Elephas maximus indicus: one gene and its partners. The protein of the gene in region 3 interacts with the protein of the main gene of each other region in a biochemical or structural test. Links are inferred from orthologs where the notes say so. Each region holds a gene or a part of one and is shown on either strand. Other genes may lie near its edges. The genes, in order: IPO11, UBR7, UBE2E1 and TRIM32.

Evidence for each region.
Region 1: the proteins of UBE2E1 (region 3) and IPO11 form a complex in vitro, tested with the Homo sapiens proteins (2 studies listed by BioGRID). The link is inferred for Elephas maximus indicus from reciprocal best matches to the Homo sapiens genes UBE2E1 and IPO11.
Region 2: the proteins of UBE2E1 (region 3) and UBR7 form a complex in vitro, tested with the Homo sapiens proteins (2 studies listed by BioGRID). The link is inferred for Elephas maximus indicus from reciprocal best matches to the Homo sapiens genes UBE2E1 and UBR7.
Region 4: the proteins of UBE2E1 (region 3) and TRIM32 form a complex in vitro, tested with the Homo sapiens proteins (2 studies listed by BioGRID). The link is inferred for Elephas maximus indicus from reciprocal best matches to the Homo sapiens genes UBE2E1 and TRIM32.

What each region holds. Positions count from the first base shown.
Region 1 is NC_064820.1:66,951,245-66,959,137, forward strand, and holds the start of IPO11 (importin-11), read left to right. Parts: upstream 1-4,882; 5' UTR 4,883-5,062; intron 5,063-7,893. UniProt on the Homo sapiens protein: Functions in nuclear protein import as nuclear transport receptor. Serves as receptor for nuclear localization signals (NLS) in cargo substrates.
Region 2 is NC_064828.1:106,785,688-106,793,248, forward strand, and holds the start of UBR7 (putative E3 ubiquitin-protein ligase UBR7), read left to right. Parts: upstream 1-4,554; 5' UTR 4,555-4,611; coding exon 4,612-4,761; intron 4,762-7,168; coding exon 7,169-7,302; intron 7,303-7,561. Other genes in the region: EKC/KEOPS complex subunit GON7, read right to left, coding at 1,730-1,824, 4,150-4,357. UniProt on the Homo sapiens protein: E3 ubiquitin-protein ligase which is a component of the N-end rule pathway. Recognizes and binds to proteins bearing specific N-terminal residues that are destabilizing according to the N-end rule, leading to their ubiquitination and subsequent degradation.
Region 3 is NC_064845.1:15,869,581-15,877,448, reverse strand, and holds the start of UBE2E1 (ubiquitin-conjugating enzyme E2 E1), read left to right. Parts: upstream 1-4,853; 5' UTR 4,854-5,020; intron 5,021-6,146; 5' UTR 6,147-6,179; coding exon 6,180-6,331; intron 6,332-7,868. UniProt on the Homo sapiens protein: Accepts ubiquitin from the E1 complex and catalyzes its covalent attachment to other proteins. Catalyzes the covalent attachment of ISG15 to other proteins. Mediates the selective degradation of short-lived and abnormal proteins.
Region 4 is NC_064827.1:66,202,659-66,210,586, forward strand, and holds the start of TRIM32 (E3 ubiquitin-protein ligase TRIM32), read left to right. Parts: upstream 1-4,922; 5' UTR 4,923-4,978; intron 4,979-5,305; exon of another isoform or gene 5,306-7,928. UniProt on the Homo sapiens protein: E3 ubiquitin ligase that plays a role in various biological processes including neural stem cell differentiation, innate immunity, inflammatory resonse and autophagy.

The DNA of each region.
Region 1 (7,893 bases), on a different chromosome or scaffold from region 3:
TGTTGTAATAAATACATTGAAGTTTAAAAAAGGGGCGTAATAGAGAATAAAAATAAAATTTTGTGAGCATCTTATATAAAATAGTTCCTTATAGATGTTTAATGTATTGAAAAGTCATAAAAACATTGAGAATGTTTAAATTTCACACTTTTAACACCAATTCATTAGCACTGAAATACCGTGTTCCTATGATTAAGGGGGTTTTATGATTAAGGGATATAATCCAGCTGGGCAAGATAAAATAAAATTGAAATCTAATATCAAGCCATTGGATTTGTTTAGAACAATTAAACATTATTGTTATTTAAATACTAAAATGATGTGCTGCTTTACAAAGCAGGACAATTTCAAAGAGTACCGGAAGACTTAATTTCTACTCTTCTGTCTAAATGTTAACAGAAAAATGTAATGAAATTTGGCTGGGAAAAATAATGCATTTTGAATATCATAAGCAACATTTTTCTATAAACATGTTCTAATTTTTTTTCAGGTCATCATAAATACTATCTTAAATTGGTGCAATTAATTAAGAAGAGTATAGCCTCTGTTTAATACCAGCATGAGTCTAAGCATTGTCAGTGAATATTAATGATAACTCAATATTCCAAAAGCACCTGTTAGATGCATGTTTTCATATCATTACCGTAAAATAATATATATGTTTCAAAATGTTTTTCAAACTTTACAAACCTAGCAAAACAAAAAATGTATTATGGTACTGAGAACTCTAAAATAGATTCTAGTTTTATATTGTGTTTTTCAGTTTTCAAAGCGCTTTCAAAAAAATTTGATTTTCAGTGAAACTCTGTGAAGTTGGTAGGGCAAGTAACCCAACCATGATTACCCTATTTTATAGTCAAGAAAATTGAGTCTCATTAAAAAGCCCACTGTCGTCAAGTCAAGTTTGACTCACAGCAATCCTATAGGACACAGTAGAGCTGCTCCATAGGGTTTCCAAGGCTGTACTCTTTCTCCTGCAGAGCAGTTGCCTACCTTTTTTTTTTTAGTCTTTCTCCTGCAGAGCAGTTGCCTACCTTTTTGTTAGCAGCCAAGCACTTAACCACGGCATTACCAGGACTCCTTACAATTTAGTCCCATAGAGATTATAAATACTTGCTCAAGTCCTACAAGTAGTAGAGGTGGGAGTGGGACACCATGCTCTTGCCACAACAGGATACCGTCTTGCCTGCTATGGGCTCTGTTGGTCTCCAATTCCAGTCACATCAGTCAAACACCTTCCTCACTGGTAGATGGGCAAGGAAACAAAACATACCAGTTGAGACATCCTAAATACAGTTTTAATGAATTTTACCTTTTAACATCAATATAATGTAAAATTCAGTAGATTCTAAAATATAGTTAAAAAATTAAATCTTTGATTATCATGAATTTAAGAATCAGATATATCCAAAGTAAAAATTAATCACAGAGATGTAGTACATAAAGCTAATATGTTTCCTGGACTCCAAAGATAAGACTACCACATTGAAAACAAAATAACATCATCAACAACAACAAATGAAGAAGCTTAACTTAAAAAAAAAAACTAGAAAATACAGAAAGTAGAAAGAAGGTGAAAAAATTACCTATAACCTCACTACCCACTGATAGCTTTGATGGGTGTTTTGGCATTTTTTTTTTAATTTTCTTTTAGTATTTTAGCAACACATGTTTTTACATAGTTGAGATCATACTGTATATAAAACTCACTTAAATAATTTCTTTTCTAAGGAACCGCACAAAGCACAAAGTTAAAGAAATCCCAAATTTCCAACTCTTCCAAATTTCTGTACTACTCCATCATCTCTAATATCAACTACTCTCCCTCCTGTCTTTGGGTTCTATAATTCACTACAGGATCTCATAGAATTCATGAACCATATCAAGGAAGTGGCTCATGCAGTTGGAATAATGGACCCTTTAGGAATCTAGGAAGTGGAGTAGTAATTAAGAGCTATGGCTACTAACCTAAAGGTCAGTAGTTGGAATCCACCAGGCACTCCTTGGATACTCTACGGGGCAGTTCTACTCTGTCCTATAAGGCCACTATGAGTCAGAATTGACTCAACCACTATGGGTTTTTGGTTTGGGGATCTAAGGAAAAAGTCTACGACGTAGAAAAATGCACATGCAAAAATTTTCCATACACTTGGAAGTTCCATCTACAGCTACTATGAGTCCAAAATCTAGTCATATACTACATACAAAACAATATGCATAGCTTGATAAATAATTTCATGCTACTGCATTTCATTGCCATATTCCCAGATTCTTTGGAGGAAAGGGCAAAAAATGCATACAAATTAAAGTCTTTTGGGGTTCTGAACTGGTATTGTGTCTGTTCAGGATATTTTTTTTTCTTTTTTTATTGTGTGTTCAGGATATTTCTGAAATATAAATTCCGTGTTTCCCCCAACGTATGGTTAATAATTGAAACAGGAAAGGAGAAAGTTGAAGCAATTGCTAAATTAATTGAAACATTGGCATCCCTCACCCCTCAGGCTCAAGTAGATTCCAAGAAAATAAGTACAATGACAATGCAACTCATTTCACTTCAAAATAATTATATTATTATAACTAACTTTTATTAAATATTTAGTATGTGCCACTATTCTAAGTGTGTTTTTTTTCATGTACCAAGTATTGAACTGTAAACATTTTATATGATTTATTTTATTAATCCTCATCACCACCTGTCGTGGATTGAATTGTGTATCCCAAAAATATGTGTCAACCTGGCTAGGCCATGATTCCCGGTATTGTGTAGCTATCCACCATTTTGTGATTTGATATGATTTTCCTATGTGTTGTAAATCCTACCCCTGTGATGTTAATGGGGGCCCTGGTGGCACAGTGGTTAAGAGCTAAGGCTGCTAACCAAAAGGTCAGCAATTCAGATCCACCAGCTGTTCCTTGGAAACCCGATGGGGCAGTTCTTCTCCGTCCTATTGGGTCACTATGGAATCAAAGGCATCGGGTTTGGTTTGTTTGGTTTTATGATGTTAATAGTGCAGGATTAGAGGCAGTTATGTTAATGAGGCAGGACTCTTTTGAGATATAAAAAAAGAGAAGCAAGCAGAGAGACAGGGGAACCTCACACCACCAAGAAACAGGAGCCAGGAGAATCGGGTGTCCTCTGGATCCAGGGTTCCTTGCACTGAGAAGCTCCTCCACCGAGAAGACTGGAAGATTGATGACAAGGACCTTCCCTCAGAGCTGACAGAGAGAGAAAGCCTTCCCCTGGAGCTGGCACCCTGAATTTCGACTTGTAGCCTTCTAGACTGTGAGACTTAACCACTACTCCACTTCCTAGATTCCTAAAGCATCTATTATTCCAATAGGTTAAGATTTACTTTTCTAAACCAATTTCTTCCTTTTAATTTGAATTAGGTAATTTATTATTTTTTTACTTACTACACATTCTTTATACCTTGTTACTCCAAGTGTGATCCATGGAGCAGCAGCACTGGCATCACCTAAAAACATGTTAGACATGAAGACTCTCAGGCCCTATCTCAGACCAACTGAATCAGGGTCTGTATTTTAACAAGATCCCCAAGTGATTCTATGCACACTTAAAGTTTGAGATGTGCTACCTTTCAGTAAAATCAGAAGATACAGTCAAGCAAAAAGAAAATAAAACATGCCTACAATACCATCCAATTAGTGATAGACACTTAACACAATGGCATATAAAACTCTTTCAAACCCTCCTATACATATTTATTTCCAAAAATGGAACCTTACTGAACATACGGTTTTGTAAACCACTTTTTTCACTCAATGATGCATTGTGAATGTTAACATGTGAACAAATACATTTAAACATTTTTAAAAGTTAAGTGGTCATTTTTAATGACCAATTTATATTTAATTATATGTGGATTATTTAATCTCTTTCTTGGTGGTAATTTAGGGAATATTTATCTTTTTACTTAAAAAAAAAAAAAGCCCTTGTGTGATGAACGTTCTTGTAATACAGGGCTTATTATTATAGCCTTGTTCGAATCCTAACACTGTCACTTACTAGCTGTGTGACTTCAGGCAGGTTACTTCTCTGCGCTTCAGTTTCCTCATCTGTAAAATGGGCATAATAGGGGCATATACCTCATAGGGTTGATTTGAAGATTAAAATAGATGATTCACGTAAAGATCTTAGAATTGTACCTGGCACACTTTAAGTTCTCAATAAATGTCACCAAATATTATTGATCTTTATGAACACTCCTAATTTTTCTTTTTAATGACAAGATGATAAGAAAACTTAGGTCATCCAGCTAGTAACATAGGCAGAGGCAGGCAGGACTGGATTTCCTTTTAAAATTATTCCGCCCTTACTATCCCTATGGAGTAGAGCCCCCAGCAAGTTCTGGAACTTATATTGTAATAATTTTTCTTTGCTGCTAAAAAAAAAAAATTTTAATGCGACAGAGTCAAACTGCCCCATAGAGTTTTCTTGGCTGGGGCCGCTTGGGGGATTTAGAACCTTTAAGACTTATGGTTAAGCAGTCGAGCATTTAATCGTTGCACCACCAGAGCTCCCTACGTGTAGAATATCAAGCCCATTCCCGTCATGTCGATTCGGACTCATAGCGACCCTATGAGTGGAATAGGAAAGGGGACATAGTCCTGGTTTAAGCTTCAGCCAACCAAGACGATACTCGATTTTCCTGGGAATGGGGCAACAGAAAGTACGGTTTCTATGGTTACGGATCTGGCCGCTTCCAGGGTCCCACCTACAAGTACTGAGCAAGCGCATACCCTGATTTCCACAACGGACGCCTCTGCCTTAGATGAGGAAGCCCCTCCCTCCTCTTCCTGCCCCTAGCCTATCGCCTTCTTTCTTTGCCCTTCCATGCGCTTTGGTGCCTGTGACGCAGTTTTCGCGCGTCCGCGTCGTTTGGAGCTGCGACGCTGAACATGGCGTGTTCCTAGAAGCGGCTTTCGACATCAGTAGGCGGCGGCGTGTGGACTAGAAGCGCGGGGCGTGGGACCAACCGACGCCGCTTCGTGTTCGGGAGTAGGAGCAGGAGAGCCGGGCCATTCCGGACCGAATCAAACGGTGAGGCCCCGGCCTGACAGTCCCCGAGCGCACGCGAGCGGAAGGGAGGAGTGGGTTGGGCAGCGGAGACCCGAGGAACGTGGGGCTATCGGGGACAAGGGATAGCAGTGGCGAGGCGAGGGCGGCCTGCAGGCGTGGCTTTCTGCATAACCGTAGGAACCTCTGGGAGCTGGGCGCGCACCGAGTGAGCCCGGGGTGGAGAAGCATGGCCGCGGAGGAATAGGGCGCTGGGAGGCAAGGACCGTGTGCCAAGATGAGGAGAGCGGAGGATACCCATTGGGGCTCCGGTTGCGGGCCAGGATGATGCATTTGCTCTTGCGGGATAGGTAGTGCAGATTTTGAGAGAACGTGATGGTCTGTAGTGTAAAACCAGTGGGTTTTTTTTTTTTTTTTGGCTTATATGACACTGTAATGGCAATTCTGTGAAAGCTTTAAGCGTTATACCCTTCCCTTGTTATTAATGGAAAAGTAAAGAAAGGTACATATGAGAGGAGCTTCATGCTGAGGTATGGTCGCCAACGCTCAAGCCCAGCGACTCCTTGCAGTTTTATATTTGGGGGTATTTCATGCAGTAAATACGTTTTGAGGTCTTTTGCATTTGTTATTTTTCTCCATTTTATGACATGGTGGGTGAGGGATTTACCTTTCTTATCTCAAAGTGATTTGACTAAATTGCTAGAATTGGTAAATTGCCTGCTGGTGCTAAGGTGGCACATGACATACTTCCCCCATTCCCGTTTTAAAGGAACTCATTTCTAGTGTGGTCAACAACAACAAAACTAAACCCATTGCTCTTAAGTCAATTCCAACTCCTAGTGACCCTGTGAGTGGAATAGAACTGTCCCATATGTTTCCCAAGCCTGTAAATCTTTACAGAAACAAGACTGCTGGATCTTTCTCCCACAGAGCGACTGGTGAGTTCAGACTGCTGCCAGAAAGTCAGCGCTTAACTGCTGTGCCATCAGGCCTCCTCTCCAGTATGACCAAAAAACAAAACAAAAAACCAAAAAAAAACCATTGCCATCAAGTCAATTTCAGCTCATTGTGACCCTTTAAGACAGAGTAGAACTGCCTCATAGGGTTTCCAGGGCTGCAGTCTTTGTGGAGAATACCTGGTGGCATACTGGTCAAGAGCTTGGCTGCTAATCAGAAAGTTGACCGTTCAGATCCATGAGCTACTCCTGGGAAATCCCTTAGGGCAGTTGTACTCTGTTCTGTAGGGTCCCTATGAGTCAGAATTGACTCCATGGCAATGGGTTAATCTTTACAGAAGCAGATCACCATATCTTTCTTCTGCAGAGTGGCTGGTGGATTCCAACAGCTGACCTTTTGGTTAGCTTCTGAGCACTGTAATCACAAGGGCTCCTTTCTAGGGCAGTAGTGCCCTTGAAATTTGGTTATTTTTCGGGAGGGAGTAAGCAAGAGCACTTTACTGCAATAATATATATATATTTTTTTTCTTGGGTAAGGCAGCTCCTCTATTTTCACGTTATTTCAAACTTCTCTGTTTAGTGCAGAGGCTTCAGGTTAAGGAGAGTGACTCTGCTTTCTGAGACATCCATTGCATCAGATCTTTTCTGACATCTTTCTTCACTGAGGAAGATTTATGTGAAATTAGAATGAGAATTTCCTTTCCTTTTTGCTATAGGATTGTAATTCTTCCCCTGGAACCTAGCACAGGGAATACTGCAAACGGTTTAATTATAGCTGTGGTTTGTGGCCATGCACTAATTGCCCTAGGACAGGGACCTGTCTTTGCCCTACTTTCCGTGCCTAAAGCAGAAGAAATTTTTTACCGTAAACATTTTGAGTGGAAGTTCTGTTATAACAAATACGTAAAGATTATTTTGTAATTAATATAAAAATATTTAGATTTTATGACAGTATATATGTATTTGCATTCAGGACCAAACTAGAATGTAGAATAATCCTGGTGGACATGTGGCAGTTCAAATATACTGAAGATTTTTCCAGAAATATGCATATTTCAGAGATAAAAATATTTCTGTTTTGGGAAAGCTGATTTGTTTAAGGGAAACCCTGGTGAGCTACGGCTTGCAAATCAAAAGGTCATCAGCGTGAATCCCCCAGGCGCTCCTTGGAAACCCTTTGGGACAGTTCTGCCCTGTCTTACAGGGTTGCTGTGTAATGGAATCGACTCGACTGGCAGTGGATTTGGTTTGGTTTGGTAATTTAGGATTTTAACCTTTGTATGTATGTGCATATGTGTTCCCAAGTGTGTGTTCTCATTCCTCTGAATTTAGTGTTACTAATGGTGATAATGATTTTTCCCCCTTTATTTGTACCAAATGGGCATTATAGTTAATTTCAGCACGGTAAGACACATTTAGTGCACGTGCGAGCCTGGTGGGTCTTTGACTTTCTAAATATCAGGCTAATTACAGATAAGCACACAATTATAAACTTTGTGTGGCTAGTAACTGCTCCTATTTTCCATGATGGCTATTAACCTACTGTCTTCCCTCCTTACTCTCCATGATAATATTATCTTCTTCACAGAGAAAATGCATTGGGTGGGAATTTCATTGCTTTCTCTCCTCTTTCACCTGCGAACATGTCTTCCTCTACGTGTCTGTCTCTTAATTGTGCTTCAGGTTTTTTCTCCTCAGTGACGAATTTTCCTCAGTTACCTCTTTTTCAGTTTCAACTGGCACTAGGCAGAATTTAAACATATGTAAGCCTCTCATAAGGAGCCCTGGTGGTGCAATGGTTAAGCACTCAGATGGTAGCCGAAGGGTTGGTGATTCGAACCCACCAACTGCTCCATGGGCGAAAGACGTGGCAGTTGGCTTCTGTAAAGATGGCAGCCT
Region 2 (7,561 bases), on a different chromosome or scaffold from region 3:
TCCACACTGGTTCTTCCAACTGATCCTTTTTGTCACAGAGGTGGCCCGCTTCCGCACTGGTTCTTCAAACCGATCCTTTTTGTCACAGAGGTGGCCCGCTTCCACACTGGTTCTTCAAACTGATCCTTTTTGTCACAGAGGCTGCCCGCTTCTGAAGACGGTATTACAATCTGAATCAGTATGAAAATTAAGGAAAAGATCAATCAAACCTATAACCCAGAATCTCAAAACACTGGGCCACAAGCACCAATATTATCTTGACATTTCTCCTTTATACATTTACTGATCAAAGGAAGCATAAAATACTCAGGGAGCAAAGTTCTGCTAGCAATTTAAAAATACGATCTATTTTAATTCTATAGGGTTAAGTTTTTTTAAGAATCATATACCGATACAAGATTATTATAATCAGTAACTGAGCTGAAGTCCTGATACTAGACAAAGCAAGGGAATTTGATTTCTCTTTTTATCAGCTTAAAAACATGGCGAAAGGCTATGTATGTAACTCAGCTCTGCCAACGGTTAGCTGTGTAACTCAGGGCAAATACTTATTCTGAGATTCAGTTTATTTCTGAAGTAAACCATAATTTTTAAGGTTATTTCCAATTGAAAAATTCTATGGCTTTGCATTTCATTAGGGTACACGCTACTTGATATCTTTGCATTCATTCGCACTTTAGCAATCTAAATAAATCAGGAAAGATGTACGGTAAATCAAAATGCCTTAGTCCTACTAACAAGTAGAAAAGGAACACACTATTTTAGGAATATCTATTTTTAAAAGAAATCAATAGTCCTGTTACGCAAGTATGGCTACAAGAGGAAAGGAAATGGCTCTAGTCAACAGATTAACTTAAGGCCTCCCATCTGGCCCTTAAGGCACAAGTTAAACCAGGTGATTAATACATATTTATTGAGTGGTAAGATGTCTACATTTTGGGTGTGAGTGTGGATTTAAGGTTTCCTTGGAAGCCTGGTGGTGTAGCGGTTAAGTGCTACAGCTGCTAACCGAAAGGTCGGCAGTTCAAATCCACCAGGCGCTCCTTGGAAACTCTATGGGGCAGTTCTACTCTGTCCTACAGAATCGACTTGACGTAATGGGTTTGGTTGGTTGGTCTGGGGCTCTCTCAGGAGTCCTAATTGTGCAGTGGTTAAGAGCTACAGCTGCTAACCAAAATGTCGGCAGTTCGAATCCACCAGCTACTCCTTGGAAATCCTACTGGGTAGTTCTACTTTATCCCATAGCGTCACTATGAGTCAGAATCGACTCAACGGCAACGGTTTTGTTTTGTTTTGTTTTTTGGTTTGGTTCTCTCTCAAAGGCTCTTTCTCTTCTGTATTTCTCTCTATGCCCTAATTTTCCTTCTCCGTGTAAAGAGCCACCACACTTACATTTATAATACCCAACTTTTGCCACTTGCTCATGTTAGTTCTTGAAATGTTATGTACTTTTTATAACAGAAGCAGAAGTTAAAAGATATAGACATCACACATTTAATTCAACGGTGCTATTTTATTTCCACAGTCTAAATTTTCTTTCTCACTCAAGATTTATTTCTAAGCATTTATTATATCTTTGCTGTAAACAGAAGCTTTTTCTTTGACAAAACTCCCCCAGGAGAACAAAACAGATGCTTTTCCAAATTAGGGCACAAGTCTTCCTGAAATGTCAGGGTGTGATAATTAGGACAGTAGCAGTCTTTCAGTTTAAATTTCATAAAAGCTATTGTTAAGACGGTGGTTTTGGCCGTTTTGCAGATGGTCCATCTGAGTTAGTTCTGTTATCAATGTTATTTTCATCTTCTGCATCATCTTCACCATCACCTTTTAAAATAAATATTTGTTGTATGATAAAATGTTCAATGGTTCAAAAGAAATATAGATCTTTAAAATGGTTGATAGAAACCATTTCAGTTTTGGAATTAATAAAACCATGCATATCTCAGATTCAAAATACGTATGATTAAAAATTTTTAGAAATTTATAACCTAAAACTTTTCTATCACTTTTTTTTTGGAGATATAATTCACATACTATAACACTCTTTTAAAGTGTCTTTATTTTTTTTTTTAGTACACTCACAAGGTCGCACAACCATCACCACTATCTAATTCTAGCACATTTTCATCACCCCAAAAAGAAAGCCCCTATTCATCATCAGTCTCTCGTCATTATTCCCACCCCAGCCCTTGGCAACCACTGATCTATTTTCTGTCTCTATGGATTTGCCTGTTCTGGACTTTTAATATAAAAGGAATTATACAATACACGACCTTCTGCGTCTGACTTCTTTCATTCAGCGTAATGGTTTCGAGGTTCACCCATGTCGTAGCATGTATCAGTACTTCATTTCTTTTTATTGCTGAGTGCTGTTCCATTGGATGGATACACATTTGTCTACCCATTCATTAGTTGATAGACATTTGGGGTGTTTCCAATTTCTGGCTATAATAAATAATATTGCTTTGAAAATTTGTGTACAAGTTTTTGTGTGAATTCATGTTTTCATTTCTCTTGGATACAGACTAGGAGTGGGATTATTGGGTCATACGGAAATTTTATGTTTAACTTTTTGAGGAAAAACCAAACTGCTTTCCAAAGCAGGTACACCATTTAACATTCTCACCAGCAAGGTATGAAGGTTCCACTTTCTCCACGTCCTCACTGATACTTGTTATTGTCATCTTTTTCACTATAGCCATCCTAGTAGGTATGAAGTGGTAGCTCAACTTCTTAAAATGACAGTATATATATAGGTAACAAAACACTTGTCATTTCAACAATCTTCACGTGCACAGTTCAGTGACATTAAATACAAACACGTTCATCACGTTTTTCACCCATCACCATTAATCACTGTGGTTTTGATTTGCATTTTCCTGACGGCTAATGACGTTAAGCAGCTTTTCATGCGCTTATTGGCCATTTGTATATCTTAGAGAACTGTCTATTCAAATGTTTTGCCCATTTCAAAAATGGGTTATTTGTCTTTCAAGGGTTGCATTCTGTCACTTTTTTTAGCAGCTGTTATAATTTTTATTTTTGCATACTTTTTGAGATATAATTCACATAAAGTCCATCATTTTAAGCTCTATCGTTTTTTGCAAAAGCAAAAAACTTGATCATTAAATATATAAAAACATGTCCTCCTATTACTGACTTATTATCAGCAGGACAAATGGTAGTTATTTTCCAATAAGTAATGATAGATTTTTAAAAAATAGCTCTAGCTATTATACTCTTGTTCTTACGTTATAACATTTTTAACAGATTAGAGAGCCAAGAAACAGGACTTAACTCTCAATATATGTGGCAACCACCAATTAACGTACTCATGGAAACAATCTATTATCTTGAACTCAGTGTAATGTCCTGAATTGATCTCTCCACATTATCCAGAACTATCAAGGGGAAAACAAGAGGGACAGTACTGTTTAAGCTCATCTATGGAAGAAATCCCGACTCCAATATTTAGTTCTTAGGTTTTTCAGCTCAGGCAGTCAAAATCCACCCGTTTTTGTATTCCAGACAAGATTGTTAAAAGTTAATGCAGTTAAATTTCACGTTTTTACTTCCAAACAACCACCTACAAAGCCAGGATATAAAAAAGGAGTTCCTCAGTTAAGACTTGTTAAACTGAAGTCTGTTTCAATCTTCGGAATCTGCGATACCTTGCAGTCTTCCAAACACGTGAGCCATCTCGCACCTGGTAACACTCCTTTCATCCTCAACACTGAGATCAGAAGTAGGGATGCCCTCTCTGAAGCCTTCTCTCGGTTTGCAATAGTTACAGAAGGCACAGGATTTATACTTTCACTCCTTAATACAGTGTTTACCTGTCTAGTCCCTCATCTGCCTGTGAGTTCCACAAGGGGACTCCATTCACCTCATTCTTTCTCTAGCTCAGCCCAGTGCCTGACAGAGTAGGCGCGTTCAGCACGTTCTGGGGGATAAAGTTGTGAAAACACTTCAATATAAACAGCCTAGATACACATGGCCGTGAGTGCCGACAATTTTTAGAGGGAGTACTCCTTCCATCGAGGGCTCCCCTTCCCCAAGTCCGCCACTCCACAAGGCTCCCCTGAGAGTCTCCCCGAGCGTCCCGCCCCGCCCCGCCCCCCAGCCGCTCAGCCTCGCCTCAGAACTCACCGTCCAAGGCCTCGTCTCCAGCCGCAGCCAACGGGTCCTGCGCTTCCCGCTGTACCAGGGGACCAAGGAGCTCGGCCACCCTTTCCCTCATCTGAACCACCCCCGACAACAGGCCCTGCAAAGGGTTGCCGTCGTCCGGCGCCTCACAAGACACCCGCAGCCGCAGCCGTTGCCCGTCCTGCCCTATGTACTCCCCTAGCAGCTCCATAGCGACTGCCGAGCTTCAAGCGCGCGCCACAAGAACACGTCACCCGGAAGCGGAAATCAGGCCCCTGCGGGCGCGGGCGGGAGCAGGGAGAGGAGTGACTTCCGTTTGTCCCGAGTCGCTCCTCCCCCGTCGGACACTTCCCTTTTTGGGGATTGGTTCCCGGGACTCAGGCCCCGCCTCCTCCGGCTACGCCTCTCGCGGCCGCTTTTCCCGCCTCCGCCGGGGCAGAGCTGCGAGCCGGGTGACAGTTGAGGATGGCCGGAGCAGAGGGCTCCGCTGGGCGGCATTCGGAGCTGGAGCCTGTGGTATCGTTGGTCGACGTCCTTGAGGAGGACGAGGAACTGGAGAATGAGGCGTGCGCTGTGCTGGGCGGCAGCGACTCCGAGAAGTGCTCCTATTCGCAGGTGGGCGCGCGGCCCGGGCCTCAAGTCCCCTCCGGCTCCCGCTGAGCCACCCCTCCCGGCCAGACTCCCAGTTCCAGGCGCCTCGGTCGTCTCCCCTGGGCTGGTCCAGGGCCGATGTTCGCCTCTGGGGTTCCCGCTCCAGGCCCGGATGCGCCTTTATCCTCCCAGGGCCCCTTTGTCGTTCTGTGCCCAGCCTTTCTCCTCCCGCAGTCTTCCTCCATCCAGCGCTCGGGATTCTCCAGGCTTGACCCTGGAGCGGCTGCTCAGTCCATCTCCAGTGTCTTCTTGGTAGCCCAGCCACTTCTTAGGAAACCATCCCCGTGACTTCTCAAATCCAGACATCTTTGTTTCTACTTCTCCCATTCTAAGGGCATTTATTAAGAACAGAACCATTAGGTTTTTTTTTTTTTTAAACTTTTATTTATTTTGTTGTTGAGAATACACGCTGCGAAGCAGACACCGATTCAACAGTTTCTACGTGTACAATTCGATGACATTGATTGCATTCTTCAACTTGTGCAGCCAGTCTCACCCTCCTCTTCTGAGTTGCTCCCCATTAACATAAACTCACTGCCTCCTAAGTTTCCTATCTGATTTTTCAAGTTACCGTTGTCAGTTTGATCCCATATAGGTAGTTCTTAAAAGAGCATAATGCTCAAGGCAGACCTTTTTTACTAGTTAAGCTAAACTATTGCTTGGTTTTAAGAAGACTTCAGGAGATATTTTTGATGTAAGGCTTAAAGATGATATCAGGGCAATAGTTTCAGGGGTTCATCCAGCCTCCATAGCTCCAGAAAGTCTGGAGTTCATGACATTTTGAAATTCTGTTCTGCATTTTCTTCCTTTTGATCAGGATACTTCTATAGGATCTTTGATCAAAACCACTAGATATTTATCAGGAGAGTCAAAGCAGGGTTAAAAGAGCTCTGGATTTGAAAGCTGCCCTGTGTGGCGTGGGCTGCTGAACAGCTAGTTCCTCTCTGCCGTTTAGTTTGGCAGATGCTTGTACTTTTGTGGTGAAATGAAGCAAGTGCCATGGCTGCCTGTAGTCTGCCGGCCTTGGAAATAGACTGGAGCCAGAACAGCAGGTGACACTGGCAAGCGGGGCAGGGAGAGGAGAAAAGGAAAGAATATGTTGGAAGAGGAAATTTGACATTTGGAAGACGTTGTGAACAAGGGTTCGAGAGGGTCCGATGTAGTGTTCAGCGACTCATCCTATATTTCTAGGTATCAAAGTGGAGAAAGGTGGACAGGAGGAAACAAGGAGTGTGAATTTATAGGAGGAAGGTTACCTAGACAGGAGGGTCGAGTGGAACATTGGGGGATGAGGAGAGAGACTTGCTGTCATCATGTGGTGTGCACTGAGATCATAATGCCAGTTGTCATCAATGACCAAGTTGAATTTGCACTGTAAAGTGGTTAGATTGTTGAGTAAACCTGGCATCCAGCTGTTGGCTGGTACTTTAAAACCTCTGATCACCACTGAAACAACATTTACTGTCCTTTTAAAAAATGGTGATAGGTCCTAAGTCTGTTTGTACACTATTTTTGAAATGTAGTTAGCTTTATGAAAGTTAGCTTTAATTAAAATTCTTTCTTTATTGTAGCATAATGGCAAATTATGCTAAAAAAAATCCAGCAGTGGTTTTGTGTTTTTTTTTTAATGGCTAATTGCACAAAACATGAGTATGGCTCTGAAAAAGAGTGACCACGTCCATATACCTACCACCCAGATCAAGAAATAGAACATTACTGGCATCCCAGAAGCCTCCCTGTGTCTCTCCCTCCTCCCTACAGGAGGGTAACCATTATCACGCTTTCTAAAAGCATAAGTTTTACCTTTTTTCCCCTTCAAATTTGTATTTTGAAATTTTTTAAACCTGCAAATAGAAGATTATGAACACCTGTATACCTCTCACATACATTCCTTGTTTTATCTCTAACACTTTCCTTTTTTTTTTTCTTTTTGACTGAACCATTTGAAAAGAAGTTGCAGATATCATGACACTGCACCTCTAAATACTTCAGCATGCATCTCCTAAGAATGCATTGATTTCTTTTGTAGAATTATAAGCCTTTTCCAAAATTAAGGTGTGATATAACTGGGTACTCGCATTCTCCTGTGTTTTCATGTGCTAAAATGATTAACCAGAACAACTTGTTCACAGTTGACTGAAATTTTAAGACTTCTTATCACTTTAAGAAGAAACTGTATGTAAATAAGCATAGTGTAGTACATGTATAGTGGTATGAAACATGCAACACTTCTCGGTGGTTTTTACAGGAAGATATTGACCACAGGTAATCTGATTTTAATTATTTCTCAGATGTTAGTATACGTATTAGGTAACTATGCCATATTTTATTAATTCATCCTCTCTCTCTCCATTTTGGGGCTGTCTTTTAGGGCTCAGTAAAGAGACAAGCACTATATGCCTGTAGTACGTGCACCCCAGAGGGAGAAGAACCAGCTGGGATTTGCCTAGCTTGCAGTTACGAATGCCATGGAAGTCATAAACTTTTTGAGCTATATACGAAAAGGTAAAGCCAGTCAGAGATTGTTACTGAATGCTCCTTTCCCAGCTGCACTTTTTTTTCTTAATTTTGTTTTTCCCTTAAAAGTAGTTGTGCACTAGTGACATTTAATATAATTATTTTATATAATGTAATTAGAGAAGGTAATTTTTCTAGAGGGCCTTTTAAGATATAACTGTGGTACAAGCTGAAGCTACTCATTCTTCTCTGCCATTGTTTTACATCTATTTACATGTATGTAGATATAGTTACGTGTACGTAGATA
Region 3 (7,868 bases):
TAAGTTCAGGAAAAGGTTTCAGAGACTAATGAACCGAACTGTTCAAACTGCAATACAATATATTCCAATATAATCTGTCCTTGTGTTATCAATGTACAGAAGGTTGAAAGAGGTTAGCTTGTTTAGAGAATAGGCCTCACAGAGGCAACCCTAAATTATAAATTGAGACAATTGCTTTAATATTAACCATTATCCATTTGTGGACATCAAACAAACCTTTTTGCCCTTGCTTGATTTTTTCTCTGAAAAAAAGCATTTGATTCTTAATCAAGTGATGGTAAATTTTGAAAATCACATGGTGTTCAATGCCTCCATGTGGTAGAAAAAATAATTTAGTTCTGTCCTAGCTTCCTGTAATAGTCATATTCAGGCCCAATAAAGTCAGACAATGTTTAGGGTCCTTCAAAGGTATATCAGTGTTTCTTTTTTTTTTTTTTTAATAAGTCCATGGAAAAATGACCTGTATTAAAGATAAAAGCCCCAGATCTAAGGCCTCATGGAACAGGCCCTTCTTTGCAGAACTTTCTTATTTTTCTGTATAAGGAATGAATATTTTCAGCCAAAGGAGTATAATAAAATGAAACAGATGTCCTGAAATCTGCAGTGAATCCATCCTTCCAGAAATTCTTTATAGAAATTCTTAATTTCAAATCAATTTTTTTTTTTTTGCAGAAAAAGGAAATCCTTTCTACCAGCTATAAAGTAAGATTAAATATATATATATATTAGCAAATGCTAATTTACTTGACAACTGTTTGGATATGAAATTGGCCAAACAGAATGGTCATCTTTATGAAATACTGTTTGTCATAAGCAACTGGCCAAAAATAAGAGTGCTGGAAAGTTAAACTGGGTCTCTTTTAAATCAACTGTAGCCGTGTCCTCCCAAGGGTGGGAATTCTTGTTCTTTCACCTTCTAGGGATCAGCCTATGACTGTAAGCACCTTGATCTTCAAGTACTTTACTTAAAAGCACTTGATACTCTAAAGATGACTTGAAGAAGAGAGCTGGATCATTCTGAGAACCAGGAATAGGTACTAGCAAACACTGGAGCCCCCTTTCTCAAAGCCCGTGGATGTTGCAGTGCTGCCCCACTTGGGCTTCTGTGATTGGACGCATCTTTTAAATGTCAGTTGAGCATTTCTGTTGATGAATTCAGTGTATGTACACGCGTTTGCTTGCACATGCGTAGATTATACGAGCAAGGATACGCAGAAAACTGCCCTGAAGAGGGAAATAAGAGGGATTGGAAGGAAGAGCTGAGGGCTCTTCCCTGACATATCCTTTGGTATCTTTTGAATCATAAAGCATGAGAATGGATTGCCTGTTCAAAATATGTTCATAAATGTAAAACAAATAACCAAGGAGGCTTACTCTCCGGATGGCAAGCAAGGAACTTCAATGGCAGTCATCCATTGGTTCAAGTGAATGTTAAAAATTCAGGTGATTCCCTCCCATTTTTTCCCCTTTCCCAACTATGTCTTGATAATATATTCTTGGAAATATTACCAAAGTTCTTTCATGTATAATATTTGCCTCCAGTGTAATGGATTTTCCAGGACTGACAAAATCATCTGTGGGCAGCAGGGGCCATAGCCACAGTTCTGCCACCGACTCACTGCATGACCTTGGCTTTCTTTGCCTTATTTTCTTCATTTGTAACATGAGGAGTTTGAACTAGAAGATTTCTCAGGTCCTGTCTAGTACTGGAGCCCTGGTGGTGCAGTGGTGAGGGACTCGGCTGCTAACCCAAAGACTGGCAGTTCAAATCCACTAGCCACTCCTTGGAAACCCTATGGGGCAGTTCTATTCTGTCCTATAGGGTTGCTATGAGTTGGAATAGATTTGACAGCACCGGGTTTGGTTTTTGATTTTATTGTAGTGGTAAAATCCTATGATTCCTTGACTATCTTTCACTTCAGAGGGTTTCTTAAGTTCTCACCATACACTCTTTAGGTGCCCTAACAGCATTCTGGAGAAGTAGGACCTAGGTGGGATTATTAATAATTTACTTTGTGTAACAGTTAATAAGCCACCTTCATTACAGACACACACTGATCCTTACAATAGCTTTGCCGGGCCACATAGTGCAGGTATCCCAGCCCTTTAGAGATGAGGAAACTGAGGCTCAGAGAGGTGACTTCAGGTCTTAGGCCTTGTAGTTAATATGTAGAAGAGCTAGAGGGTTGCAAACAAATTTTTTTTTTTTCTCTATGAGACAACAGTGTATTTAAAATAACATGACCTAAAGATTAGACTTTCAAGAACAGTGAATTCTTTTCTAAGCATTTTGAGGTTTTTATACCCGACTCAGTAGGTCATTCCAAAACCATAAAGCACTAACCGGGGGTTAGTGTGTGTTAGAGATAAGAGGGAATGGTACACAAGGGAGGGCTGGTATCCTTCCAGACCTGTGCTTGGGAAAGCACTCCCTATGTAGGAGGAGCCCTTAGATTACATGGTTTATTTCCCCGGGGACCAATCCAACCCAGGCATCAACAATGAAACAGAAAATACCATGCTCAGTTAAAAAAAAAAATTATCATAGTATCTGTTATAGATTGAATTGTGTCCCCCAAAAGTATGTTTTGTAAATCCTGACCTCTATGCCTGTGGTTATAATCCCATTTGGGAACGGGTCGTCTTTGTTATGTTAATGAGAGAGGATTAGTATAGGGTGTGTCTTAAATCAATCTCTTTTAATGTATAAAAGAGATTAAAAGAACAAGGGAAAGAAGCAAGGATGGGGGAAGAGAAATGCCAAGCCACAAGAAGATGGCCCAGGAGCAGGAGCTCAAAGAGACAGCTGAAAAAGAAAGAAAGCCTTCCCCTAGAGCCGGCTCCCTGAATTCGGCCTTCTAGCCCCCTAAACTGTGAGAAAATAAATTTCTGTTTGTTAAAGCCACACATTTGTGGTATTTCTGTTATAGCAGCACTCATAGATAACTAAGACAGTATTCAGGTATACGATTTATAGAAATCAAACTTAAAGAAAAAATATACCACCATCCCAGTCACTTCAGCAAATCAAATTTTTTATTTTCCTGTGATCCTACCAGGTCTTGTCTTTATATATACATATACATATAATTGGCTTTTTTTAATATATATAATTACATATACAATTTTTTTTACTAGTTGTAATCATAGTGCAGGATTGGATTTTAAAGCATCAGAAATCCAAATTTTCGTAAGATTATTTTCTTCACCCCCAACTAAGTTTATTTCATCTGTTTGCTTATTGTTTTCTGTTGAACTTTTTCGTCAGATGTACACAAAGTCTACAACCTGTTTTCTAGGAGATTTTTTGTTTTTAAGGACCATACAGCAGGGAATGTCATTATTTTTGTATGGTCTACCAGGACTCCTGAAACCAAACACTAAGAAAAGTTGTCCGGGGATCTTTTCAAAATCGATATGCATTTTGGTGGTTAAGGGATAGCTCTGACTGGGCAGGAGGCTGAAGTGATGACTACGAGGTTTCCTCCACCTTTTGGACTCCTTGATTCTATGGCAATACCTGGTAGATACAGGTTTCCTAGTAGGGACTGAACAAGAATCATACGCTATTATTGCTTTATGAGTCTTGATGAAGTTGGAGTTTCAGGATGAAGAGTAGAAGGGGTTAAGCTGGGCGGTGAGAATCCTTGTTTTCCTGGTTACTGGATATGTCATGGGCTTTATATCTTGTGTATATGGTGACTGAAACCACTGTTGCCACGGGAAATGATGGTAATTTGAATGAGATAATTTAGAGTGACCCATGGAACTCTGACTAGGCTGTCTCCTTAATGTAAAGATCCTGTGAGTGTGTCACTTGTATTTGGATGGTATATATCTCTTCATTTCCCTTCAACTGAAATGACAAATAGGTGAGAAACTGAAGAGTAATTTGGTGGCTTAATAATAGAAAGTCAATCTTATTTAAAATGCTAAACGAGGAACAATTTAGAAGAATTACTGATTATTCTAAAAATATTATTATTTGAATAGCATTTATGTTGTAGCTGAAGTAGGTACAGGGGTCCCCAGAACTTCCTAGCGAATTTCCAAAAATCAAACTTTATATCCAATGCTGACGCCCAAAAACGCTAAATCTAGTCTAATTCAGTATATGATTTATTCCCAGTGATTTCTCACATTCATAAACCTGTAACCCTCTGCTCTTACCTGTCATGAAATCATTTGTATCACTTTCAAAAACCCACATCACTTTCTATAAAATGTGACGTGAAGAATCTAAAATTTAGAATTGTACATGCCTCATGCCCTGGAGCAGAAAAGTCCCAGTTTGGGATTTTCTCAGAGGCGTGTCTAACTAAACTGACCTCTGCTCCTACCAGGTAAATTGCCAGAGAGAGAAGCAAGTGTCAGCCCAAAGGGAAATCCCTTTTGTGGGATTTCTTTTTTCCCCTTAAACTGATCACTTTTTAGGAGTTTCCATTGCACTCTCTAGTCCCAAGTCTTAGGCATGAGATTACCGTCTTATTCACCAATTTGCCAAACGCCTTTTCCAAAAGCCCTCTGTGGAAAGAACTTCTTCTCTAGTGACCCCCCGCACCTCTATTCCAGCTAGTACCAGCCGCTCCCAGCGCCCCCCGTCTCGGACCAGCTCCCCGTCTCCTACCCAGGATCCAGATCCCAAACCCCGTAAGAGAAAATTCACACCCCTCGCCCCTTCCCGGGCGTCCGAAGGAGGCGCCCGGTGGGGGTGCAGGTGTGGATGGGGAGGGGGACAGGGTTTCCCGGGGTCCCCCGTGTCCTCCCCGTCCCCCCGCTCCCGGAGGTGCAGGGGGAGGGAGCGCGGGTGGGTGGGACCGGGCGGGTGGGGGAGGGGTGAGGAGGAGGAGGAGTGTGTGTGCGAGCGTGTGTGGCTGGGGGAAGCCATTGCCTGTTTAATAGTTGCTGTTGCTGCACTTCCGCTTCTCTCCCAGCGAGAGAGAGACACGAGTGGCCAGGCCCAGCCGCAGCCGCAGCAGCAGCCGCCGCGGCGGCACGGAGGAGCCAGACACAAAGAGAGGTACGGGGATCCCCCCGTCGCCCGCCGCCCCCCGGCCGCGCCGCCGGGCCTCGGGGACACCCCTTGCCGCCTCCCCCAAGCCGCGCCGCCCGGGCCGCCGGGCACGGGGCTGAGGAGGGGCGAGGGGCCGGGGAGCCCCAGGGGTCCGGGGCCCGCCCGCGGGGGATGGGCAGGGACCCCGGGCCGCGTGGGGTGCGGGGGCCGCCGCGTCGGGGGCGAGGGGGGCATTGTGGCTTGAACTGTCAGCGCCGTCCCGGGAGCCCCCCACTGGCCACTGAGGGGGCCGGGAGCGGGGGGTGGGGGAGTTGGGGGAGCCTCGTTTTCCCCCCGGGCGGGGGCCCGCGGGGATTAACCCCTCCGGGGCGGACGAGCTCATTGTTATTCCTTCTCTGCGGAGGCCAACCCCCCCACACACCCGAACCCCCCACCTCCTAGAGGTGGCGATCGGGCGTGGGCTCAGGACCCCCGCCCTGGCCGCGGAGCCCGGAGCCGGGCGGCTGAGGGGCAGGCCGACAGGGAGGGGCGTCGGGCGCGGCGTGGGGGGCCTCGGGCCTCGTCGCCCCTGTCCCCGCCGGCCTCTCCCTTCCCCCACCCGGGCACCCGTTCCCCGCCTCCGTCCCCCGGTTTCGGCTTCCTCTCTTACTCCTCCCGCCCCTCCTCTCTTCCCGACCTCGCCAAACTCCGCTCCCGGCCCCGCAGCCTTGCCGGGGCCACAGGCCCCCGCGACCCCCAGGAAGCGCACAGAACAGTCCGAAGGCCACCCGGCCGCCCGGGTCTTTCCTCCTCGCCTCGTCGAGGCGCCCCGCGCCCCTGCCCTGCCCTCCTCCTCCGCCCCCTCGGCCTCCCCCCTCCGTGCCCAGAGGGGAGCCCCGGGGGGCGAGGGAGGGGCTGCCCTCGTAGCTCCGGACCGTTTCCCCCGGCGTCCTCTACTTGGGGCCCAAAATAAACAAACAAGCCGCGTCCGATTTGCCGAAGCCTTAATGGGCCTAGAGACTTTGAAAGCAATAAGAGGGAGGTGGGCGGCTGGGTGCACCCCTGCCCCGTGCCTTCCTGACAGCACCCGAGTTCCCTATTCACACTGCCTGCCTGGTTTACGTGTGTCTGTTTTGTTTCCCTCCTCCTCCAGGGGCTGTTTGCGGGGTGGGGTGGGGGGTTCGCTATGTCGGATGACGATTCGAGGGCCAGCACCAGCTCCTCCTCATCTTCTTCCTCCAACCAGCAAACCGAGAAAGAAACAAACACCCCCAAGAAGAAGGAGAGTAAAGTCAGCATGAGTAAAAACTCCAAGCTCCTCTCCACCAGCGCCAAGAGGTACCGTACGCTTTTCCACCGGCTTCCTATTTTTCTGAACGCCTCTGCTGCATTCGGTTTAGCTCCCAAAGAGGGTAGCTAAAGTGCCCCTCCTGGTTTGTGTGTCCTTACAAATGAAAAAGGGGCCTGGGAGGCCCTAATTATTCTCTCCGTTGCTTGTTCTGTTTTTCTTTTAATCATTGCCCACATGCAGCCGCTGTGGCTTGCCTCTCGCGTTTCTTGTTGAAGTTTGTAAGAATCCTCATTGCTTTTAATAGTGACCCCCAAACCCCATTTCAGGTTACTGGTTTTATTAATCGCTAATCTGTAACTCTCCTCACGGCTGCCGTCCCACTTCTTAATCACTAATACCTGCCCAGATAACTCCCTATCAAAATGTCTTACTTCCTTCTCACCTGTTGCACGCCTGATCTTTGTTGAATAGTAATTTATCCAAAAATTGCATAAAGAATAAATACATCAGTGGGGTAGAAATTTTAGAAGTTGAAGACAGGATTCCTGATGGAATTTAAAGGGATTTTTCTGGTTTGGAGAGTTGACGCAAATGAATGAAGCAATAAATGATTGTAAGCTGGTGTATTGTAGGTTATTTCTGGGATCCTTAATTTTTTTTCTCTTTAAGAACTTCACGTTACCAATTGTAGGAAAACGCAGTTTTTTCGTGCTGTCTTATGCTGTAAAAATGCTACTATTTTTTTCCAAGTTGAATTAAAGCAGTGGCTCTTTTTCCTTACTTTTTTCCTCTTACATCTCTGGAGAAAGCCACTTTTTACCTCTGTCATCCTTTAGTAATATCCTCGGATTCCTGTGACCCTTAAAATAATCTATAGCAGATTTCTGGGAACCCCCAGACACCTTTTCATAAATCCTTCTGCTCTCTGGTAAACAGTTATTAAACGTTAAAGTGGCATACTAGGAAAACAGTGGCACCCTGGTGGCGCAGTGGTTAAGAGCTCAGCTGCTAACCAAAAGATCGGCAGTTTGAATCCACCAGTCGCTCCTTGGAAACCCTATGGGGCAGCTCTACTCTGTCCTGTAGGGTTGCTATGAGTCAGAATTGACTTGCTGGCAACAGGTTTGGTTTTGGTTTTAGTTTAGGAAGATAGTAAGGAATCTGAATGGTGGGTTAGATAGGGATGTCTTTCTTAAAGGAATTTAAAATAAAATGGAACCTGAGACTTAGGTCTCTCCGTTGAGTAGTAAGCCAGAACTCAAGAGTTCAAGAGTTTGTTTTGTCATTTTCCCTGACTTGAAATTTGAAAAGTTGGTAAAGTGCTGATGAAGGGAATGACTTTTTATTTTAAATAGTGTAGAGATTTAAGTGCTAAGGTGTTTTTTGCAAGGTATTTCCCCTTTTCAGAGGGTTGGTTTGATTGCATCTCAGCTTCCCAGGAGTCCTCATTGATTAACCCAGTGCTAGCTAGTTCTTTAGTTCTTTCAGAACCCTGGTATCTAACCCTGCCCGCTTTGGATGAGGCCTTCCTTAAGCTCCCCAGGGCAGCCTCTGGACTCCCTGATCCTCATTCAGACAGCCTTT
Region 4 (7,928 bases), on a different chromosome or scaffold from region 3:
ACAGAAAGTAGAACCAATTAGACAGTTAGATAGATAATAAGAAAGGCAGAGAAGCACTGAAAGAGGGGAAAAGGTACAGAGGGAGAGAAGAAGGGAGGGAAAGATGGAGGAAAGACAAAAGAGGAAAGGAAAGAAGGATGGAAAAAAGGAAGAAATGAAGAAAGTAAGGTGGGAGAGATGGAGGAAGAAAGAGAGGAAGGGACAAAAGGAAAAAGATAGGGAGGGAGGGAGGAAAAAGTAAGGGAGGAAGGAAAGGAAAAAGAGAACAGGGGAGCTAGGCAGACAGGTAAGTAGGCAGCCAGCCACTAAGATGGTCCCCAGTGATTCCCTCTTTCTGGTATTTACTAGCCTGTATAATCCTCTCCCCTTGAGCAACTTGCTTCTAGCCAATAGAATAGAGATTGAGGACATGTCACTTCTGTGGTTAGATTATAAAAAATCATGACTTCTGTCTTGCTAAGAGGTTCTCTTGTGCTGTCTTTGATGAAGCAAGCTGTCACATAGAGGCCCATGGGGCAAGAAACTGAGGGTAGCCTCTAGCCAACAGGCAGCAAGGAAGCGAGGCTCTCAGTTCAACAACCCTGAATTCAGCCAACAACCACGTAAGTGAGCTTGGACGTGGATCCTTCCCCAGTTGAGCTTTCAGATGAGACTCCAGCCCTGGCCAACAACTTGATTGCAGCCTTATGAGAGGCCATGATGCCGAGGACCCAGCTAAGCTGCACTTGAAGTCCTGACTTACAGAAACTGTAATATAATAAATGTGTGTTGTTTTAAGCTACAAACTTGTAATTTGTTATGGAGTAATAGATAAGTAATACAGAGAGACAGATATAATTTTATATTACTTCATGGGAGTGCTAGTAATTATAAACCTCTAGACTCAGACAAACTCTGTTAGGATGTACTAGTGTTTTAACTCCTTATATTTTCTTCCCTACGTTATATAATCAAGAAATGTCTCTTCCCCTTCAAACTTCAGTTGCTAAATGGTAAAAAAAAAAAAAAGGGGGGGGGGAGAATATTTTGTTGAGAAAAGTCATAGTGATAATGATAATGACAGTAAAAAATGATAACTGTAACTAACACTCAGCACTTATTCTTTATCAGGCAGCGTTCTAAGTCCTTTGGATCTATTAAACCATCTAACATTCCCAACATTCCTACCTGGTTGTTGTTGTTGGCTGTCAGCCATTAAGTTGGCCCCCAACTCGTGGTGACCTTGTGCATAATAAAATTAAACACCGCTCAGTCCTGTGCAATCCCTATGTTCAGTTGTGGATCGGACTGTTGTGATCCATTCAATTCTCAATGGCTGATTTTTGGAAGTAGATCTCCCCAGGCCCTTCTTCCTAGTCCATCTTAGTCTGGAAGCTCTGACAAAATCTGTTCAGCATCATAGCAACACCCAAGCCTCCACTGGCTAACTGGTGATGGCTCTGCACGAGGTGCATTGGCCAGGAATTGAACCTAGGTCTCCCGCATGGAAGGTGAGAATTCTACCACGGAACCACTTTTATACTACTACTATTATTTTATACTACTACAACTACTATTATACCTCTTTTGCAGAGGAGAAAAGTTAAGTAAATAGAGACTGAATAACTTGTCCAAGGTTACACGTTTGTTAGTTACAAAAAGTTACCAAGCATTACTTCAAATCACCTTCTCCTCTATTCCCTAACAAACTTCGCAGGTGAGTGTAGCTGAAATTCTAACCTAGATCTGTCTGACTCCAAACCCCTTGCTCTTCTCACTACAGAATGATGTATTTAATAAGTAAATGTATTTATCATAATAATAAATGCAATATAACGAACACTTCTACATGTTAAGCAAAGAGCTAAGCTTTTTACATCCAATATCTCATTTCGCTCCTGATAATCATCTGAGTTAGTTATTGTTATCCCCGTTTTGAAGAGAATAAAAAAGGCATTAAGCTAAGAACCTCCTTTGTAAGTGAAGAAAACAATACTTAACTCATAGAATGGTTTAAATGTTGAGTCAGAGTATGTTACGTTAAAGTGCTGAATAAAGAATATTTAAAGTGCTCCACAAAGAATATTTTTTAAATGTATCCATGTCTAAGGAATGCTAATATTGTGCCAGGTTGTGCAAACCCACAGGACAAAAAATGAGTGATATCCCCGGAGTGTTTATTTTACTGTGAGATCATGTGGTAATTAATTGAACTTGTAAGTAATTTAAACATTAAAAAAAAACACCATCAAGCAAACACTGTTTTTTTGTTTGTTTTTTAAGGGAAAAGAGAGGTGTTTTGTTTTTGTTTTAAATGGCATGCCTGAGCTACATCCCCAGACTGTTAGGAGTACTGTGAGCTCTCTTCTGTGATTGGGGAAACATCAGTATATATATATGAACAGTTTTTAACTGAAACTCTGGGCTGATAACTGTGGTTTTCAGCAACCAGGCTGCTAAATCTCCCTTCCACCACCACCTACTTGAGAAGGGGATATAACTCAGGTCTCAGGGCAGGAAAAAATGATTTGACAGCAACCCTCCCATATCCCCCACCTGCAATACAGGGGTTGGGAGAAATACTGCAGGCCCCATTCAGAGGGGCTCCCTGCCCATTCTATGGAGCAGGCCACACTGAGTCTCCAACATGGCAGAAACCTAGAAGCCCAGCCCACTGCCATCGAGTAGATTCCAACTCATAATCCCTGCTCTTTTCCGACGCTTCTGCTCAGAACAGCTCATCCCAGAGCCCTTGCCTTGGCAGGCTCACAGTCTGTGGTCAAAATGACAGCAAAGATTTGCCCTTTATTCTGTTTTTCCAAGTACTATGAATTCTTTCGCTCTTACACCAAATCTTACTTAATAAAATAGGAAGATAGCTGGTGTCATAATATGTGGGCATAGTCTTTCAGTGACTGTATGGGGCATATCATGAGCCTGATGAGCCTGGGTTTATAGCCCGGCTCTACCACTTCCTAGGTAATGACTACAAGAAAACTAGTGAATCTTTCAGAGCCTTGGTTGCCTCTTCTGTAAGCTGGTGCTACTGATAGCTACTGGAAAAGTTGTTGAGAAAACTAATTGCGACTTGTGACAATATATGTGAAATGCCTGGCATATTGCCTGTGCTCGAAAAACAGCAGCTCTTACCTGACTGACCCCCCCCCCCCCGCCCCAGGTCACACAGGACATGTGATTTGCCTAAGGTCACATTTCAGAATCTGACTCACTTAGTAACTCTTAGGTGCTGGGCTCTGTGCTAGCTGGTGCGACTACGAACAGGCATTGCCCTTCAGGGAGTTCACAGGTCTGGAGAAGATCACCTGTAAGTAGATAACTTAAGGCCAACCTTGTATATGCTGCATGAGAAGTCATCAACTTGAAACTCCTGCAGCTTGCTGAACATGCAATGAACACCTCAGAACTCCCAGGAGCCCAGGAAGGTGGGAGAAGCAAGCACCCTGGTCCCCTGGCCCTCTGAGGTTTTTGTCTGCACCCACCAGCTGCCAATTCTGAGCAAAACCTACCCTGGGCCCTGTAGTACCAGACTGGGCTCCCTCCTCAGTCCAGTCCTGAACTCAACCTATACTTGGCCTATCTGCTAAAACCCCAGATGGCAAGTTCATCACTGGGGCCTGAGCCTCAGAGCTCTATTGCAACCCGTGAGTCCAGAAACACCAGGCCTGTTCAGCACATGCCATGAAGTACACCAAGCCAGGCTCCTGTTGGCCTCAATATTCCAGAAGCTGAGGCTTTTCAAACCAGCAGTTCGGAGGATGTGAGAGCTGATCTTAATTTTTAAAAAAGCAGCTACCGTTAATTAAGTACAAACCATTATACTTCTATAATCTCAGTTAATCCGTATAGCAAACCTCATCTCCATTTAGAGATTAAAAACAAAAAAAGTTAAAAAGCGAAGTTTCTCAGAACTGAGTAAAATCTGGGCTCTGATACTAATAAGCATGTGGCCTTCTTATTCAACCATCTAGGCATCAGCTGCCTTTTCTCACTGGGTCATGGTAAAGAGTAAGTGAGTTATGTCTATGAAGTGCTCACCATACCTGCAGTCAGACATTAAATGCTCAAAGGATGTTCTACAATCCTTGCTGGTTGTTTTATCATTGTTCAGCATCACATAGCTCAATGGGATTTTAAACCCAAGCTCATCCTACTTCAAAACTATATAGTATTATCCATAACTTTATAGTATGGTCATCTGCAGGGGCAGGTAGCTGGACTCAAACAATCTAACTGGCTGCAGATCTTGGTCAAGCAATAGGTCAGACTGCCTCCCACCTGTGAGGGGTCTACCCTTCAGTCTGCAGGGTCAGGAGCTGTAGTGTGTGTCTCCGCATCTACCTCTGCTATCAGCCTCCCTTCTGAGTAGGTGAAAAACTCCTTCACAATAGAAAACTGTTTACAGATAAGCTTGTCTCTAATAAGCAGTGTGTCATAGAAATAGGGAAACCAGGCACTGCCCTTCTAAGAAATCCAGGTTCTGTGCCTGCCCCAGAATGAAAGTTTTATTCTTGCCTTGACCCTTTTCTCAGACTGGGACGCTGAGGTTCAGAGAGGCTTTTCTCTGAGTTGCCCAGGCTCAAAGGAGAACTACTCCTGGTGATCGCCTTTTAATGAAAGGGTTAAGATATTGGGATTTGGAGTCAGTCACGCGCCTGCAGGTTTGGCTCCTGACTCGTCGAGTGGATATGGGCAGGACCCATATGCCCTTGGGCCTCAGTTTCTTAATTTACACAATGGAGACAGAAAACTGGATTAAGCATGGTTTACAGCCCCACTTCTTGCTCTCACCTGGCCCTAGAGCCCCGAGCTAGGGCTAGCCCGACTACAAGCCCCGGCATGCCTCGGGAGGGCGGAGCCCAGTGAAGGACAGGCGGTTTTGCCAATCGGCGCCGGTCAAGGAGCGCGCGGCGGCGCGTGCGCAGAGGGCGGGGGCGGGTGGGCTGGCGGCGGTGGACGCGTCGGAGCTGCGGGAGGTCAGGTAGGGGGCGGGCAGGAGGGTCGGGGACAAGAGACCCTGGCCCGAGTCGCGGACAACGGCTGAGCGGCGGGGAGGGGGGCTGTGCTGGCGTGTAGAGGCTGGGCCCGCGCCCGACTAGCAGGGTCTGGGGATCGGATCTGAGGAGTAGCTCTGGGGTGGGGGTGGGGGTGGGGCAGTGAGGGGCAGGCTCCGGAGGGATTCGATGTGGCTGAAGATCTCAGGGGAGATGCAGCGCTTGGGGCGGAGGCGAGGGTGGGGTGGGGTGCGAAGACTTGCTGTGCAACATCTCAGGAGGTATGAGGTAATACGGGGGCCCGGAGGAGACGGGGTGCAGCATCTGGTAGGTTCGGGGAATCTAAGGGCCTTGGAAGGGTTTGGGGGTGCAGGATTTCGGAAATAAGAGGGAATCGGGGTCCCTGATGAGATTTAGGGTGCAACATCTCAGGAGATTCGAGGAAATCTCGGGACGCCAGGCATTTGTTTGGGCAGGGCAAGATCTGAGATCAAAAGGAGCAGGGTCTGAGGCGATCCTAATTGCTAAAGAGGGAGGGTTTTCCTGAGTAGGATCTGGGAAAAATTGAAGTGGGGAGTTCTTGGGGGAATCAGAGGGAAGCAACATCTTGTTAGAAAAAAGAAGAGACCTGGCTAAGATTTGAAAGCAACACATGACATGGGATGGGTGAAAGGAGAAGGAGCAAGGTTTGAGGATGGCACAGTGCCTGGTAGAATACAGAGAATGGAGGATAAGATCAAGAGAGAGCAGAAATCTGAGGTGTGGGATCAGGGTGTTTGGAAGGAGTTGGGGTACAGGGCTGAAGGCTTCAGAGATTTGGAAACGGATTAAGGGGTCTTTATCAAAGGAATTTGGGATGCATGGGTGAAGAATTGGCGAAGGTTGCAATGTAGAGCCCAAAAGGTTAGACTCTTGTATTGTGAGATGGTTTGGAACACAATTTGGAGAGGATTGAACAGGTTGCAGAATTAAAGGACTCTGAATAGGTCTGTGGGTTGGCGACTTGGGCTGCTAAAAGAATTTTCTTGAAATCTCTACATGGGAAGCAAAAGGAGTTTGGGGACCCAAGAACCTAGAAGTAATATGGAAGTGTATATATGAGTATGAGTTCAGGGGTTCAGGAATGAAGTTATAGATCATCAGAGATCAGGACTCCTGAAGAAGCATGACTTCCCCTCAGAGGGGCAGAATCTCCTTCACTTTTCCAGCAAATATCCCTTGTCATGAGGCTGGCATGGTACACCACTAACTCCACTCTGACCCTGGGCCAGCTGAAAGTGGTAGACTTTGGGGAGAAGATATTGGTGAAAGGGAGGATAAAGCAGAAAACTGTTCAAGGCCATCCTTCTAGGTCCTGTCTTCCCTACCCCTACCTCTGCACCATGGAGGTGCTAGCAGATAGTGTGTGAGATGTCCAGGGAAATGAGTGAAACATTATCTCAGGCCTTATTTTCCTCATCAGCTAAATAAAGTGGATTGAATTAGATCATATTATTAAAAAAGAAATTGTTGCTGTCGAGTCGATTTCAACTCATAGTGACCCCGTATATAAAAAATAATAATAATAATTAGGACCCATTTAAAAACCAAAGAGTCAGTGGCTTTGTGAATGAGGTGTTTGTTTTGGCTGGGAGAAGGGCAAGAAAAAGGGAGCTCAGGGTTCAGCATTTAATCCTTTGCAAGTCTCTAGAGCAGTGGTTCTTAACTATGGGTGATTTTGTCCAGCAGGGGACAGTTGGCAATGTCTGGAGATGTTTTTTGGCTGTCAGAATAGGGGTTTGGGGTACCGCTGGCACCCAGGGGGAAGAGGCCAGGGATGCTGCTAAACTTCTTACAATGCCCAGGAAAGCCCCCAGAACAAAGGATTATCCAGCTGAAAATGTCAATAGTGCCAAAGTTAAGAAACCCTACTGTAGAGTCATATCTGAGGTTCTAATGCTGGCTCTGTTTCTTCTGATTTAGTAATCTTGAGTGAGTTATTTAATCTCTTTGCCTTGGCTCTTCATTTGTAAAATGGGGTTCTTAACAGGACCTACATCATAGAATTATTGTGTGAATTCAGTGAAGTGAGTCAGGGTGCCCCGTGTGTGGCATATAGCAAATATACAATAAATTTGGCAATTTTTAGTTTTTATATCCACTTTTCCAGTTTTCACAACAGTCTTATTAAGTGTCTCTATTATATCCAGTTTTACACATGAGGGAACTAAAGCTTAGAAAAGGGAAGCTACTTGCCCAAAGTTTCATAGCTAGCAGTGAAGTCAGAGCTAGGCTCATATCCAGATCTCTGTAGCTGTATATTCTCTCTTTTCCTTGCTTCTTTTTTTTGTGGGGGCCTGTTTAGTCTTATTATCTCAGCCCATTCCCCTTCAAAGTAAAGGAGGATTGTCCAGTTGGTATCAGTGAATATCAAACAGAACCCTAGAAGGGGTATTCTATATGATTAGGTAGGGAGTAACCGTGGACTTTGTTCTTGGTTTGCTATTAGACCAGGACCAATGGGTGGATAAGGGGAGGAGCTTAGGTTAGCAAGCAGGATGAGGTGCATGGGACCAGAGGGTGAGGTATGGAGGCCCTTGGCTTAAAAAAAAATACAACCGCATAGCAGGGAAGGCAGGAAGCTGAAGGCCATCAAACCAAAGGAGAGTAATTACTGTTCTGAATGATCTCTTTTGGGCTTCTTTCCCCTGGGACAGAATAGCCACACTGGCTCTCTCAGCTCAAAGACTAAGCTACTTAAAGCATTGCTGAAGCCAGCACAGAAACAGCTGGATTGGATCTGAGGGCAAGAGACTCAGCTGGAATACCTCACCCTCCCCAAGGGAAATATTTAATGAGCATTGAATCGGCCTGGGAATCAGAGGCCTGAAGTCCAGTGTCCTTACTCTCCTGCTAATTTACTGTGTGACCTTGGACAAGGACTTGTCCTATCTGCCT